4 linked regions of the Callithrix jacchus genome follow. The protein of the gene in region 1 purifies or fractionates together with the protein of each later gene. This does not show direct contact. Links are inferred from orthologs where the notes say so. Each region holds a gene or a part of one and is shown on either strand. Other genes may lie near its edges.

Evidence for each region. Proteins that work in one complex are often made in the same cells at the same time.
Region 2: the proteins of ARMC8 (region 1) and RANBP10 purify together in Homo sapiens (affinity purification with mass spectrometry; 5 studies listed by BioGRID and IntAct, with this or other methods). This does not show direct contact. The link is inferred for Callithrix jacchus from reciprocal best matches to the Homo sapiens genes ARMC8 and RANBP10.
Region 3: the proteins of ARMC8 (region 1) and TCEAL9 purify together in Homo sapiens (affinity purification with mass spectrometry; 3 studies listed by BioGRID and IntAct, with this or other methods). This does not show direct contact. The link is inferred for Callithrix jacchus from reciprocal best matches to the Homo sapiens genes ARMC8 and TCEAL9.
Region 4: the proteins of ARMC8 (region 1) and RMND5B purify together in Homo sapiens (affinity purification with mass spectrometry; 4 studies listed by BioGRID and IntAct, with this or other methods). This does not show direct contact. The link is inferred for Callithrix jacchus from reciprocal best matches to the Homo sapiens genes ARMC8 and RMND5B.

Annotation. Positions count from the first base shown.
Region 1 is NC_133518.1:46,057,223-46,060,735, forward strand, and holds part of ARMC8 (armadillo repeat-containing protein 8), read right to left. Parts: intron 3,345-3,513; coding exon 3,252-3,344; intron 440-3,251; coding exon 290-439; intron 1-289. UniProt on the Homo sapiens protein: Component of the CTLH E3 ubiquitin-protein ligase complex that selectively accepts ubiquitin from UBE2H and mediates ubiquitination and subsequent proteasomal degradation of the transcription factor HBP1.
Region 2 is NC_133521.1:25,329,148-25,333,251, forward strand, and holds the start of RANBP10 (ran-binding protein 10), read right to left. Parts: upstream 2,809-4,104; 5' UTR 2,785-2,808; coding exon 2,550-2,784; intron 1,794-2,549; coding exon 1,682-1,793; intron 1-1,681. Other genes in the region: TSNAXIP1 (translin-associated factor X-interacting protein 1), read left to right, coding at 3,325-3,440. UniProt on the Homo sapiens protein: May act as an adapter protein to couple membrane receptors to intracellular signaling pathways.
Region 3 is NC_133524.1:99,429,075-99,432,818, reverse strand, and holds TCEAL9 (transcription elongation factor A protein-like 9), read right to left. Parts: upstream 2,451-3,744; 5' UTR 2,348-2,450; intron 1,865-2,347; 5' UTR 1,798-1,864; intron 1,343-1,797; 5' UTR 1,287-1,342; coding exon 972-1,286; 3' UTR 509-971; downstream 1-508. UniProt on the Homo sapiens protein: May be involved in transcriptional regulation.
Region 4 is NC_133503.1:70,672,614-70,676,670, forward strand, and holds the start of RMND5B (E3 ubiquitin-protein transferase RMND5B), read right to left. Parts: upstream 2,809-4,057; 5' UTR 2,491-2,808; intron 1-2,490. UniProt on the Homo sapiens protein: Core component of the CTLH E3 ubiquitin-protein ligase complex that selectively accepts ubiquitin from UBE2H and mediates ubiquitination and subsequent proteasomal degradation of the transcription factor HBP1.

The DNA of each region.
Region 1 (3,513 bases):
AAAGTAACAAATCAAGGTAGGTACTGGTCATGTTTTCCTCTGTTCCAGGGAGTAGAGGGAGATAGGATAAGCAGTATAGAAGTGGAGAGTAGGGGGTGATATGGAGAAGCAGCTCCCAGAACACCTATGAAAGCAACAGGTCTAGACATCAACTCCTTGTTTCTTTGGAAGAGGGTAGCATTTGAATCACACTTATGGGCAGATGTTAATGAGGGCAGAGAGAGAGAGCAATGTCTTGTAATGCATATGCAGGGCTAGCTACTTTGGAAGCCTGGGTGATTTTACTTACAGGACGAGTAGAGAGGAGATTTCTAAGAAGTCCCAATGTCTTCATCAGCACATTCAAATCTGAATCTGATAATAACCGGAATAGCTGTTCAGTACTCAAGCTTCGTAAAATATCTGCTTTTATTTTTTGTTCAGCCTGAAATGCCATATTCTGAAAGGATTAAAGAAGTTGCAAGAGTCATGTCTACATTTACTTTATTAAATTATATTTTAATAGTAACTGATAACTTTCAAAGTACAAACAGAATCTGCAGAAAATCTTTAAGGATAAATCCCTCTATTTTCCTGATTCTTGTTAATCACCTATATTTCTGTCTGTCAAGAGAAGGGTAACTGTTACTCCTAAATATACTTCTACATGAGGAATATGACCACTTTCAGGCATAGGCATTTGAATGTCTTAAGATTTCTCAAATAAATACAAAACTCATGTATCACTTTCAAGAATATCTTTGGCCGGGCGTGGTGGCTCAAGCCTGTAATCCCAGCACTTTGGGAGGCCGAAGTGGGTGGATCACAAGGTCAAGAGCTCGAGACCATCCTGGTCAACATGGTGAAACCCCGTCTCTACTAAAAATACAAAAAATTAGCTGGGCATGGTGGCACGTGCCTGTAATCCCAGCTACTCAGGAGGCTGAGGCAAGAGAATTGCCTGACCCACGAGGTGGAGGTTGCAGTGAGCTGAGATCGCGCCATTGCACTCCAGCCTGGGTAACAAGAGCAAAACTCTGTCTCAAAAAAAAAAAGAATATCTTTATGGTTACCAGGTTGCCTACTGTATGTACACAAAATGACTATTAATGATTATACTGTGCCATGCCTTTTGAGAATGATTTCACAGTACTTATTTATGGAAGAAAATAAGCAGTGGGTTTGTTAACTTTACTGGCATGAAAACATCTATTGTGTTCACAATACTATGGTAGGTGTTGGCATGGCTGGGCTATATTGCACAGGAAGCTCTCCAGAGGGTAGGAGGTGTATCTGAGCTACCAGTAATCCCGGGTGGCCAGTGGCTATTTTGCTCCTTTTTCTCTAATTTGTATCATGGGTTAGCCCAGCTGAATCCCAAGCTATACATGTCTGAAGAAAACAAAAATCATGGTAAATGCCAAATAACTTATATATCAACTTTTGATACAAAAGTCTCTTGTATAGCCAGGCATAGTGACCCACGGCTATAATCCCAGCTACTCAGGAGGCTGAAGCACAAGAATCACTTGAACCCAGGATGGTTCAAGGTTGCAGTGAGCTCAGATCACGCTACTACACTCCAGACTGGGTAACTGAGCAAAACTCTGTATCAGAAAAAAAAAATATTGTAAACTAGAGACATAATATGTGGTTGTTGCCCTCCAGGAACTTATTAAAGTGCTAAGACATTAGAGATCAAGTTACATAATGATGTGAGGCAGCATGGCAGAGCAAAAAGAATACTATGTATCAAGAGACCAGGCTAGAGATGATTCTAAAGTTTTATATTTTGCAGATAGAGAACACAGTAGCTGGTAATATGGAGACTGATGAGAATTAAATAGTTTGTACAGATTAGAAGAGTGGAATAGGTTCCATTTCCAACATTAAAATTGTGCATGTCGGAGAGGCCATTTAAGTGATAGACTGGCGGAATAGGCAATAGTTACATCTGGATATGTAGATTTTAAAGTAACCTATTAAAGGGAAGTTGAAACCATGATATGAGATGAAGTCCCTGAAACTGATGTAAAGAGATTTGGAAACCAGATACTGAATGGGGGAATGTTCCCAGAGAAGAGGTTGAAAAGGAAGCAAGGTAGAAACAGTTTAAAAAAAAAAAAAAAAAAGTCCTCCGAAGAAGTTTCAAGAAAGAGAAGTGCTAAAAGCTGTGCAAAGTTCAGGAGAAAAATAACTGTGAAACTACAGATTTGTTGCTTTCTTAGAAGATAATTTATTTCTATCCCAAAGTCTGTACAAAAACACAGCAGATACAGCATGGAACAGGGAGAAAAATACAGGCTTGGAAAAGGTTCTGAACCCATTTCCATTATTAGCTGTGAGGCCTTCACCCTCACAATTCACTTACCCTCCCTAAGTCCTAGTTTTCCATTTGTAAGGTGAATATATACCAATATATCTTAAAATAAGAATTAGAGATAAAGATAAAACACCCAGCTTAATGTCTGGTACACAGCAATTAAATTGTACATAGAATAAATATGTTTTAAAAATAAATTTAGGATTATTCTATTTTCAATTTCAAGAAAAGTTTAATAATCTTAAAGAGAAACAATTCTCTAACCTCATAAAATTTTAGAATCTATTATAAATTATTTACTAGAAACTGTTAAAAAAATTAGTAAGTCTCTATGCAGCAATTTTGTTACCTCGGACAAGTTATTTAATCATTCTGCAAAAAATGGCTAAGTATGTGGGGTAATACATATGTAAATTAGCTCAAATTAGCCATTCCACAATCTATACATCTTTCAAAGCATTGTGTTGTACATTATGAACATATATAATTTTTATTTGCCAATAAAAAAATAAAATAATTGTTCTGTGTCTTAGTTTACTTCATCTATAAAGTATGGTAAGAACTTCCTGGCTGACATCATAAAGTTGTTCTGCAGAGCAAAGGAGACATGAAAGTGCTTGTCAAGTAGGTAGCACTACACATAATATAGTATGTTCATGATGAGGAAAATGTATTTTCCCAGAATTAGATAAGTTTCAACATCTATTCACTTTTCTTAATAATAAATAAGAGAACAGAAGCATAACTTGCTTAGAGTTAAACCACGCTTACAGTTGAACCTTAGTTCAGTACTAAGTCTTCTAGGTCTTAGTCATCAGAAAACTAGAACAAAATAGCAAGATTTTTGAAAAATAAAATTCCAGACATTTTAAATAACACATTATTTATAGTTCTAACTAATAGCTCTATTCCTTTTGTAAATTATGATATATATAAAAGTGAAACGTACCATTAAAGCCCAAATTCCATTCACTCGTAAAGCAGGATTTTCACTCTGGGTCAATCCACAAAGTAGCTCTACAGCTCCTGATTCCAAAATTGGCTGCCATTGGACAGGAAAAAGAAATCCCAGCTTTAAAGTCAGGTTCACAAACTAAATGTGCATATGCCTTGGCACTTTGCCTGTGATTTCTTCCCCACTCTTACCCCAGTTCTAGGCAACTTTTGCAAAGCAGGGAGTGATGCAGCCATAAAAATCATATTGAGAAGGG
Region 2 (4,104 bases), on another chromosome or scaffold:
GGCAAATTTCCAACACCAAACCTAAAGTATGATGAGGAAAGCCTTTCTTTTTTTTTAAGATGGGGTTTCACCAAGATGGCCAGGCTGGTCTTAAACTCCTGACCTCAGGTGATCCACCCCCCTTGGCCTCCCAAAGTGCTAGGATTATAGGCGTGAGCCACCGCACCCGGCCGAGGAAAGCCTTTCTAAAGTAGCTGCAGTCATGTTATTTCATAACTTAAACACCTGCTTTGTTGCAATCACTGGAAAAAAAAGGGAGACTGGGAGAAGAAAGAAAAAGAAAAATTAAATATCTCCCCTATGATTTTCTGTGTCTGCTTGGATCACCCTAAAATAGGAAGTCTCCCTAATGCTCTTTTTTTGAGAGGGGGACAGAGTCGCACTCTGTCGCCCAGGCTGGGCAGTGGCATGATCTTAGCTCACTGCAACCTCTGCCACCCAGGTTCGAGTGATTCTCCTGCCTCAGCCTCCTGAGTAGCTGGAATTATAGGTGCCTGCCACCACAACCAGCTAATTTCTGTATTCTTTTTTTTTTTTTTTTTTTGAGATGGAGTTTCGCTCTTGTTACCCAGGCTGGAGTACAATGGCGCAATCTCGGCTCACCACAACCTCTGCCTCCTGGGTTCAGGCAATTCTCCTGCCTCAGCCTCCTGAGTAGCTGGGATTACAGGCATGTGCCACCATGCCCAGCTAATTTTTGTATTTTTAGTAGAGACGGGGTTTCACCATGTTGACCAGGATGATCTCGATCTCTTGACCTCGTGATCCACCTGCCTCGGCCTCCCAAAGTGCTGGGATTACAGGCGTGAGCCACCGTGCCCGGCCTAATTTTTTTATTTTAAGTAGAGACGAGGTTTCACTATGTTGGCCAGGCTAATCTCGAACTCCTGACCTCGTGATCTGCCCACCTAGGCCTCCCAAAGTGCTGGGATTACATGCACCAGCTAATTTTTTTTGTACTTTTAGTAAAGACAGGGTTTCATCATGTTTGCCAGGCTGGTCTTGAACTCCTGACCTCAGATGATCTGCCTGTCTTAGCTTCCCAAAGTGCTGGGATTACAGGCGTGAGCCACCGCACCTGGCTCCTAATGCTAACTTTAATGAGGACCTTCCTAAAGCTGGTCCAACTAGTACTGTTCAAGTCCTTGGACTGAAAAACAAGTTTATGAGCAGCAAGGTCACCTGATTCTGACCATGTGTATGCTGTTTACCCTGAGATGACAAGCTAGTGGCCACAACAGCTTTCATGAATGCTGCAAAGACTCTACTATCCCTTTGAAGGCTACCAGGGCCTCTACATGACTCAATGTCATAAAAAAGAACCTCATGAGTACAGCAAGAATGTGAAAGGAAGGAAGTCACAAAAACACCATATGTTCATGAGGGAAACTCCATTCTGAACACAAAATTTTTAAAGTAAACTTATTACTTGTTTGCCTAATCTTCTAGGATCAAATTATATCACCACTGAAAAGAAACCCCTGCTTTACCCCCAACACACCCACTTTCCATCAAGATCTGCTGCTTAGACTAGACCATGCCCACAGTCAGGAAACAGAGGCAGCCCAGACCCATGCAGCTCAACAGCTCATATCAGCAACAAGTGCCAGCCAAGGGACCTGAACTCTGACCACAGGGATCAGTTCCATGTTAGGGGAAAGAGGGTGGTCATGAGACTTACCCATCTCTTCCTTTGCTGACAATCTTCACTTCAAAGTAATAAATGCCACAGGCAGCAGGTATGGGGTGGGTGGCACGCACTGAGGCCGCATCTTTGTGATTTTTGCCATGACCTAACAGGAGAGGGCAAGCAAGAAATTTCAGCAGAAGGAAATGCAAATGGAAGCCTCATTCTTCTGCAGATCCTCCATGGCAACTCCACTCCTCTGTGGCCAGAGGAAGCACTTACACAGTCCAAGGAATCATTAGACAACTGAGTAAACACATAAACCTTCCACCTTTGCCTCATCTCCTCCTGAGAATAGTAGTCCTGCCTAAGACACTGTCCATACAAACAAAACAAGGGTATAGGCAATATGAGAGATACCCAAGTGCTGCTGGTTGCCTCTTAGAATCCAGAAAGCCCACCTGGGAGACCAGGGAAGGGAGGAGGCCGACCTGGAAGACACGCCCCAAACTCTAGCACGGAACCCCAGACCCAGTCAGGGATGCCTGGCAGGTGGGTAAGCCCATGAGCCTCAGGCTAATGGTAGGGATGTGACCACCCCTTTCTTCTAAGCAGGGGCGAAGGGTCCCGCTGGGGTTGGAGACAGCCTAGGATAAGCAAGGAAGCCCTGGAGTGGAAGGTCCGGCCCAGCACTGGGTTTGGACACCTGTTGCGGTTCTCTTGACAGCAGGTGTCTCAGGACAGAAAACAAGCAGTTAACCCTCGGCCCGGTCAGCCTCATCACCCTGGACATTCTGAAAGGGCCAAGGCCTAACCTGGAGCACCTAGGCAGGGAAAGGGAAGTAATGGGAAACGGGCCTGGCAGCAGACACCCCACAGACGCTCTCCAGCCTTGTTTCCCCGCAGCCTGACGGGCCGATACCTTTGTAGTGGACGCGGAGGTTGCCCTGGGAGAGACCAATGTAGTTGTATTTGTCCTTGGGGCTCCAGGAGCGCGGTAGCGGCGTCTCTTGCTGGTTGACCGCGGGGTACAGGTGCTGCAAGCGCCGGCTCAGCTCCTGCTCCCCGGGGGACGGCAGCCCGCCCCCAGCGCCCCCGCCGGAGGAGTCCCCAGCCTGTGGGTTCCCAGCTCCCGGGTCTGCCGTCGCTGCCGCCATCTTGGAGGGAGCTGCTATTGTGTCATGGGGGCGGGGAGAAGCGAGACCAGATCCGCCCCGCTAAGCCAATGGCCCGTGAGCTTCCCGTGGTTGCAGGGAAACCGAGTCCGAATCCAGTACCTCTCTTTGAACACTGCCATGCCTTGCCACATTGTGAACTCCATATCCCACAATCCAGAGCTCTTGAAAGGCGGAGCAACTCGGGCTGGTAGAGAGTTCTGGGAGATGTAGTACAACCCTCCTCAGCCATAAGCTTGTCCCACTGAGACGTCGGGACACCGAAAACTACAATTCCCGCCGGCAAAGCGTCTCCGGCCTCTAGGCACACTTCCCTACCCCATAGACTCTGTTCATCCCCCAGCCTCAATTCTGGTACCTCGGGTCAAATCGGTTGTAGTTATTGACTCTCAGGGCACCCGCTGCCGGGTCCCAGACCACCTTTGCTGCTTTATTCTCCTCTCAGCCCCCGGGCGCTGGGGTTGGGGGCGGGGCGCATCCCTGACTCCGCCCTCGCTGCAGGGCGGCTGGAGCCTGGTCGCCATGGCGACGGGCTGTACACTACCACAGCTTCCCAGGCCGCAGGTGCTGGTTGCCCGCCTGCGCGTGGTCATGGCCTCCCAGCAGTCGTGGTGCCACAGCTTCTCGTCCGCGTCGAGGTAGGCGGTGGCGGGGATGGGCAGAGAGGAGGGTTTGAGTACTTTTAGAGAGGGAAATGGCATTTGATCGGGACCGCTGCACCTCCTGCTGGCCTCTGACCATTGATCTAGGGCTTCAGCCCTACAGAGTCAATGATCGCAGAAACGGTTAGAATCCGGGCTGATTTAGCCCAATGAAGACGTTACGTGCTAGCAAAAGGGCAGGCGCACTTTATCATTACCAGTAACAAACAGCTGGTATTGAATGTACTATATACCAAATGCTTTTTAAATCACATTTTTAAAATATTTTATTTTTGAGACAAGAACTCGCTCTGTCACCCAGGCTGGAGTGCAGTGGCACGACTCACTGGAGCCTCGACCTCCCAGGTTCAAGCGATCCTCCTACTTAAGTCTCCCGAGTAGCTGGGACTACAGGCATGCGCCACCACTCTTGGCTAATTTTGAGGTGTTTCTTCGTTTGTTCGTTTTTTTGTAAAGATGGGATTTCACCATGTTGCCCAGGCTGGTTTCGAACTCCTAGACTCAAGAGACCCTTCCACTTCGACCTCTCAAACTGGCATTACAAGAGTGAGCCACCGCACCCGGCCTATGTACCATATTCAAACCTCAAGATAACTGTATAAAGTAGTAATATTACCATTGTAAAAGTGAAGAAATACTT
Region 3 (3,744 bases), on another chromosome or scaffold:
CTTACTGGGGGTGCCAAAGAAATATGTTGTAATATACTTGAGAATTCTAGCACATCCATAGTGATAGGGGCCTGAAGGTGCAGGACCCAGCAGAAGGGACAGAAAACCCAGTGTATATGGTAGTATCCAAGGCAGGGGCATGAGAGGCTGGGCAGGCATATCAGGAAAGAAACATAAAGGTGGCACCCACCTCATGGTTGTTTGGGTTTGTTCTTAGTCACAGATAATAACTACTTTCTTCACCCTTCCAAATCGCCAAAATTAATCTCTTACAGAGCTGCGATGGGAACAATACCCTGTCAAACATAGCTCACAGTCATTACCTTATTTGGCCCTCACAAAATTCTTGTGAGATTATTTTAAAGATGAGAAAATAGGTAAAATTTATTATTCTGGCTAAGCGGTCCGGTGTTACTTTGAAGTTCACATTTCTTCTAAAATTCTGTCAACAAATATTAAATGCCCCAATACTTTTAGAAATAAACTAGCAAGTGCTTCTTGTTGCTTCTTTTTGTTATAAACTTTTATTATTCTAGCAATAACAATGCGTGTTAATTTTAGGAATATAGAAAATACAAATAAGCAAAAGGAGAAAAGTCATTCATAATTCCACCGAGAGGCTGTACTTTCTTTCATCCTTCACAAGTTATGTCCATATATGTAATATACAAATGTACTCTTTACCTTTCAAAAATAAGATATTCACATATTACTTAGTAGCCTTTTTCCATTTTATATCCTACCAAGAACCTCTGTTTTTACAAATGAGTAAAGTTCTCTTACCAAAAGACAGAGACTTGTAGATTGGTTCAAAATATGATAAACAATGAGATGCAGATAATAAGAGATACATCTAAAATCATTAACAGCAACAGGTTAGAAGTAGAAATATGGACAAAGGTATATGAGGAAAATGCTAATAAAAAGCAAGCTATATGGTATTGTTAATATCAGATACAAGTTAAGGTAAACTACATTAAGTAAGGGTAAGGATGGTTTCGATTAACCTTCCAACGCATCACTACAAGTTTGTTTCTGACTCTCCTTATCTCATCCATTTCATCCACTTCTCTACACATATCTTCATTGCTTAAATGCCTGTTGTGTATATCTTCTTTAAATTCCTGGAGAGATTGAATCAGCTTCTCTCTAAAAGCTCCTTTTGCTTTGGCCTCCTCCTCTAGCTCCTCCTCCTCCTCCGGCTTTTCCTCAGGTTTTGGCTCTTCCTCATGCTTTGGTTCACTCTCATTTTCTGGTTTTCCTTCAATTTTTTGACAGGATTTCATCTTGTATCTTCCTTTTCCTTTTTTTTTTTCTTATTCCTCTTTGAATACAATGACTTCTAGAAAGCAAAAAGAAGACAGTAAGTTAAAGATTAAACACTTGGTCAGTGGACACGTGCCATGGACAGAGGTCTTAGCATTTTTTTTTATTCAAAGCTATTATAAAATATCTTCCACCTAAGAAGTCCAGTCAGCAATCACAGCTTCCCTATTCCTACTCCTCTTACCACCACTTTCCACCTCTGCACTTCTCTCTTTTCCTTCCCTCTAACCTTTTGCACCGCCTTCTTTCTGCCTCCCAGCCCTCCCCAATCCTTTTTCCCCCTTAGGGCCTAATACACGGACCAGCCCAGAAAAGAGAAAGGGGGCTGGCAGGTAGAGGAAGAGGGGAAAGGAGAAAGGGGAGAGAAAAAAAGAGGGAAATGAGGTGGGGTGGAAGGGAGCCGGCAGGAACAGTGGAGCTTACAACCTTTGTCTCTACCCCAGGAGACTTTATAATGTTCCTTTCACCTACCTGGCACTGACCGGGTCAGTTTCTTCCTTCTGCTTTTTTACCTTTGGGTCTTGCTAGAAACACAGACCTGCAGACAAACGGGAAACGGGAGGGGACGGTGGAGGTGGGGAGAGCCCTTGGTGGGCTGACCGGCACCCGAAACTGACACACATAGCTTTCCTCCTTTAGGGTTTCGGTTATGGAAAGTTTCCCACCTTTTGTTTCTCCCAGTTCGCCCTCTCTCCACAGTGCATGTTAGTTCGTTTTAACCATTAGACAAAGAGTGAGAAAGCAGATTATTTCCAAACTATCCTTAAGACTGAGGCGGGGTTCGGGAGGAGGGTGCGGATCCGAAAAGCAGTCTTAGATAGCAGAGGATGATTATTTTTATAAACTATCACAAGTCTCCTTGTTCTTCTCCTAGGATTCCTAGTCCCCTTCCCAAGGGTCATCATTTCCTGTAGACCTGGAGGTGGAGAGTGGAGAGACGGACCTGACTGGCACTCCCACAGTCTCTGCCCTAAACCGCCCACGCTAGAAATCTCCAGTCAACAAGTACATTCACACTAACCTGCAAAATTCCAGCAAGTTTGACTCCTTCCACTGGCCTCAGGTACCACCGTCTGCACTGCTGAAGGAGGCTGGAACAAGGACCAGACTAGCAGGACTTCTGCACACGTCGACTCCTGGTCACATGAGATCTACGTCACCAGTGAGCTCGGGTCCCTAATTTCCACTCCCACCAAAAGCGCGGCAGAAGTGGGCCCACCCTCTGCTCCCTCCCCGCCCCCTACTTATACATTTGGCCCTGTCAGTCTTTTCTATTGTTTCCTATCCCAAAGGGGAAAATGTTATTTGCTTGACTCTGATTACTAGGGAGGAGCTACCTCTTTTCCTAGAGCTACTGAACTTTTCTACTTTTTCTCTGAGAATTGTCTCTTCCAGTCTTCCACTCCCAGGATAACTCCCTCCCCTAGCCTCCATGTCATCTGCAATCTGGTCCTTAGCTGTTGAGGGGCAGAGTGTGCTTGGCAGCAGTTGTGAAACAAAAAATACCTTGGAACAAGAGTGAGATTTTTGAATGCATTTTTTACTGTTTATTCTCCGTACTTCCATATTCTTTTTTTTTTTTAAGGTAACTTTACTCTCTCTCTCTTTTTTTTTTTTTTTTTGAGACAGGATCTCACGCTGTTGCCCAGGCCGGAGTGCCACGATACAGTGGCACGGTCACAGCTCACTGCAGCCTCAAACTCTTGGACACAAGAGTCTCACCTCAGACTCCCAAGTAGTTGGGACTACAGGTGTGTGCCACCATGCCCAGCTAGTCTTTTAATATTTTTGTAGAGATAGGATCTCTCTATGTTGCCCAGGCTGGTCTCGGACTCCTGGGCTTAAGTGATCCTTCCGCTTCTACCTCTCAAAGTGCTGGGATTACAGGCCTGAGCCACTGTGCTGGGCAACCTTTATCTTCTTATAGTCAGAAAAAACAGAGATAAAATTACTTTAATTACATGAGTTAATACATGTACAGTGCTCAGAATAGTGCCCAGCATATAGCAACTGCTTTTAAAGTGAAAGCAGTTCTAATACAACAACTGTTGTTGTATCAGAAGTTTTTTTGAGGAAAATGATTAAATTTTTTCTTAAAAAAGACTAATGTTTTGTCCTACAGTCCTCATGTTGGTGTTACCAGGAAGCTGTGCTGCCTGAAGAATCATCAATTAATCAATTGTCAGGTACACATTGTGAGCCTGAGCTTCCTCATCTGAAAGAAGGGAATAATAGCATATACTCACAGAATTGAGATCTATTGAGAATAAAAATGAGTTAATTTTTTATTTATACAATTAGAAAAGACAAATATTGGTTATATTTGGAGTTGGTGAGGATATGGAAAAACAAATATTCACATATTCTGTGAGAATATTAAATAGTACAACATTTTTAGAAGTCTTCTTTGCAATATCA
Region 4 (4,057 bases), on another chromosome or scaffold:
CAAGCACCTGTAATTCCAGCAACTTGGGAGGCTGAGGCAGGAGGACTGCTTGAACTTGGGAGGCGGAGGTTGCAGTGAGCTGAGATTGCACCACTGCACTCCAGCCTAGGTGACCGAGCAAGACTCCATCTCAAAAAAAAAAAAAAAATCGAAGTAAAAATAAAATAAATTAGCTGAGAAAACAGAACTGTTTGCGAGTGTTCTATCCAAAAAGTCCAGGAGGTTAATTCAGTCTGTCCAGAGCAAGCCACTCTGCCTGAATCAATCATCAGGCACAAGGAATTGTATTTGTCTTTGACAAACTTCATGATTAATACAAGTGCTGATGATTAAAATTTCATGTTCACTTGTCCTAAGCCTTCCTCCCAAAGTCCCACATATACAGAAATTATCCACCAGGACAACCCTCCACAACAAACACCAGATCCTGTTACCTTTTGCCCCACACTGCCATGGGTTGACATGTAAGCCCTTTCCAATTATATATTTGCTTCCTTTGTACAAGTTCCTATTTTTAGAGTGCCCTCTGTACTTCTTTGTATAGAGCGCATAAGCTGTAGTTTAATCATCACCTCCCCTTGAGCCCTCAGTGAAATCTCCCAGCCTCTTTTTCTGCTTCATAACCTGGCAAGAGTGGCCATACCGCACCCATCTGAGTCCTCAACTACTGCAGCACAGTAACAGCCTGTCCACCTTGGCCTCCCACATTGGTCTGTGAACTGCTCAATGGCTGGAGTGTAGTTTGGTTCTTTCTCCCCGTCAGTTCCCAGACCAGGGCCTGGTCCATGATAGGTGCTCAGTAAACATTTGCTGATTAAATGACACATCCGTTTCCTAACTTTGGCCTAGAGAGCCTGAGCTCAAATGTGTAGGGGTGGCAGAAAGAGACATGAGTGAAATATTAAAATCCCCACCAAGGTATGCATGGAGGTTTTTCCTGGAGTATTCAGCATCCTGAAATGAGGGGCTCCTGGGCAGGGAGAAAGGAAGTTTGAGCAAATCATAAAGGTCCCTTTTGTCTGACAAGATTAGACAACCTCCATTGACCCAATTCTTAATGCCTTTTTTTTTTTGAGGCAGAGGTTTTTTTTTTTTTTTTTTTTTTTATGGTTGTTAAAAAAAAAGAGAGAGAGAGAGAGACAGGGTCTCAATCGGTTGCCTAGGCCAGAGTGCTATGGTATAATCAAGGCTCACTGAAGCCTCGACCTCCTGGGCTACAGTGATCCTCTCACCTTAGCCCCCCACCCCGAGAAGCTGAGATTACAGGCGCCACGAACGCTTCCCAGTTCATGACACATTTACTTAGTACATGCAGGGCCTTTTCTCCTTTGTATTTATTTATGTATTCCTTTTTGTCCCAATTCTTCCCCTCTCTCCCCACCACACCCAGCTATTTTTTTGTTGTTGTTTGTTTTTGAGAGGGAGTCTCCTCTCGGTCTCGCCCTGTCACCAAGGCTGGAGTGCAGTGGCACAATCTTGGCTTATTGCAACTTCTACCTCCCAGTTTCAAGCGATGCTCCTGCCTCAGCCTCCCAAGTAGCTGGAATTACAGGCACCTGCTACCATGCCCAGCTAATTTTTGTATTTTTAGTAGAGATGGGGTTTCACCATGTTGGCTAGGGTGGTCTCCAACTCCTGGTCTCAAGTGATCCTCCTGCCTCGGCCTCCCAAACTTCTGGGATTACAGGTGTGAGCCACAGTGCCCAGCCTAATTTTTCTGGAGAGACAGGGTTTCCCCATGTTTAGCCAGGCTGGTCTTGAACTGCTGAGCTCAAGCCATCTGCCAGCCTCGGCCTCCTGTAATTCCTGTGCTGGAATTATAGGCGTGAACCCCTGTGCCCAGCCAATTCTTATGCTTTTACAGCCGCCACCTCTATCCATTCTCTACCCTATATGTCACTCCTCTGCTTAAAACCAAAAGATTTTTCCACTTAGAAAAATCTCCAGGTTCCTTTCTACCACCTACAGGCTCTATGTTATGTGAGCAAACCGCAACTCTCTGACCTCATCTGCTACCACTCTCTTTCTTGCCATACTCCAGTCACACTAGCTTGCTTTCTGTTCCTTGACTACTCCCAGTTAATATCTGCCTCAGGGCCTTCATACTGGTTGTTCCCGCTGCCTGGACCACTCTCTCCCCATATCTTCCTGTGACTGCCTCCTAATTTGGGTCTCAACGCAAATGTCACATCTTCAAAGATGCTGTGCAGTAGACCACAGTATCTAATGCTGACCACCCCTCTGCCCCACCCTCACACCAGTTAACCTGTCCTGTCGCCCTCTTCATTTTTTTACTACACAGCCATACTTGAAGTTTCTAATCTTTCTTTTATCATTAACCAAAACTGGAGGGAGGAAAAAGCCCACCATTGTCCCTGGACTGCAGCGCCTACTGGGAGTTTCACCCGCATTAACATGCAAACGACAGGCAAACTCCCAGTCATCCTTCCAAAGACCCTGCTCCAATGCCCTGCTGAGCCTTGTGCGCACCTGCTCACCTCCGACCCAGCGCCGTAGCACGACGACTGGACTCAGGCCGAGCGACTACCCCGGCAGAGGCGGCTCTTCGAGGGCTGGGCCGGGACCTATGAGTCTGGGACTCCAGCTCCCGGCCCGGGACCGACAACTGCAAAAAGAACAAGCCCAGGGGCAGAGTGTTCGGGGCTTAGTCGGAGATACCAGGGGTTCCGGAGAAGGCTGGGGCCTGGGAGGCCGGCCGAGCTGTCCCGGCTGTGCGCCTCAGCTCTGCCGGCCGCCGCGCCCGCCCTCCGCCCGCACCAGCCGGCCCCCGAGCCCGCCCGCTCTCACCTCGCCCAGTAGCCCTGGCCCCGGCTTCCAGCGCCGCTGTCATCGGAACCGGAAGCTGCGGCGGTTGATCCTCGGCCCGGGCCCGCCCACTGACGTTTCGCGGAGGGGTGGCCGTCCCACGGGCCCGCGCGGCTTTGCGCCCGGCCGCCGAGCCTCCCCGCCGCGCGTGCCGAGTGGAGTTGCCTGCGGGAGCCTGGCGGAGGCCAGGGAAACCACGCCCGGTCGCTTCCTAGTGCCGAGTCCCTCCGGCCTGGAAGCTGCTGGTCCCGACCGCTCCTCGCCGTTAGGCGGGTTCCCCACCTGGCAGAGGCGGCCTCGGCCCCGTACTAGACCCAGTCAGTGCCTGGCTCCCGGGTCCCAATCCCCAAGTGGTTACGTCTCCCGCGCTGCCAGCCCTGAGAGCGGCGCGGGCTGTGAGGGGCGGCGGCTGGACTGTGCCCGCAGTGCTCTCTTGAAATATCAAGTGATGGTCGGGCGCGCTAGCTCACGCCTGTAATCCCAGCACTTTAGGAGGCCGAGGCGGGTGGATCACCTGAGATCATGAGTTCGAGACCAGCCTGACCAACATGGAGAAACCCCATCGCTACAAAAAATACAAACTTAGTCGGGCGTGGTGGCGCATATCTGTAGTCCCAGCTACTCGGGAGGCTGAGGCAGGAGAATCACTTGAACCCGGGAGGCAGAAGTTGCGGTGAGCCGAGATCGCGCCACTGCACTCTAGCCTGGGCAACAAGAGTGATACTCCGTCCCCATAAAAAAAAAAAAAGAAAGAAAGAAAGAAAGAAAAAAGAAAGGAAGGAAGGAAAGAATGGAGAGAGAGAGAGAGAAAAGAAAGAAAGATCAAGTGATGCTTAAAGAAGGCAAACTTTTTGCCGGGCGCGGTGGCTCACGCCTATAATCCCAGCACTTTGGGAGGCCGAGGCGGGTGGATCACGAGGTCAAGAAATCGAGACCATCCTGGTCAACAAGGTGAAACCCCGTCTCTACTAAAAAGTACAAAAATTAGCTGGGCATGGTGGTGCGCGCCTGTAGTCCCAGCTACTCGGGAGGCTGAGGCAGGAGAATTGCTTGAACCCAGAAGGCGGAGGTTGCGGTGAGCCGAGATCGTTGCCATTGCACTCCAGCCTCCAGCCTGGGTAACAACAATGAAACTCCGTCTCAAAAAAAAAAAAAAAAGAAAGCAAACTTTTTTCCATCCGTTCTGCGGAGGAGGGGAGGGGATCCAGCCTGGCCAGGCCACCTTCTGTTG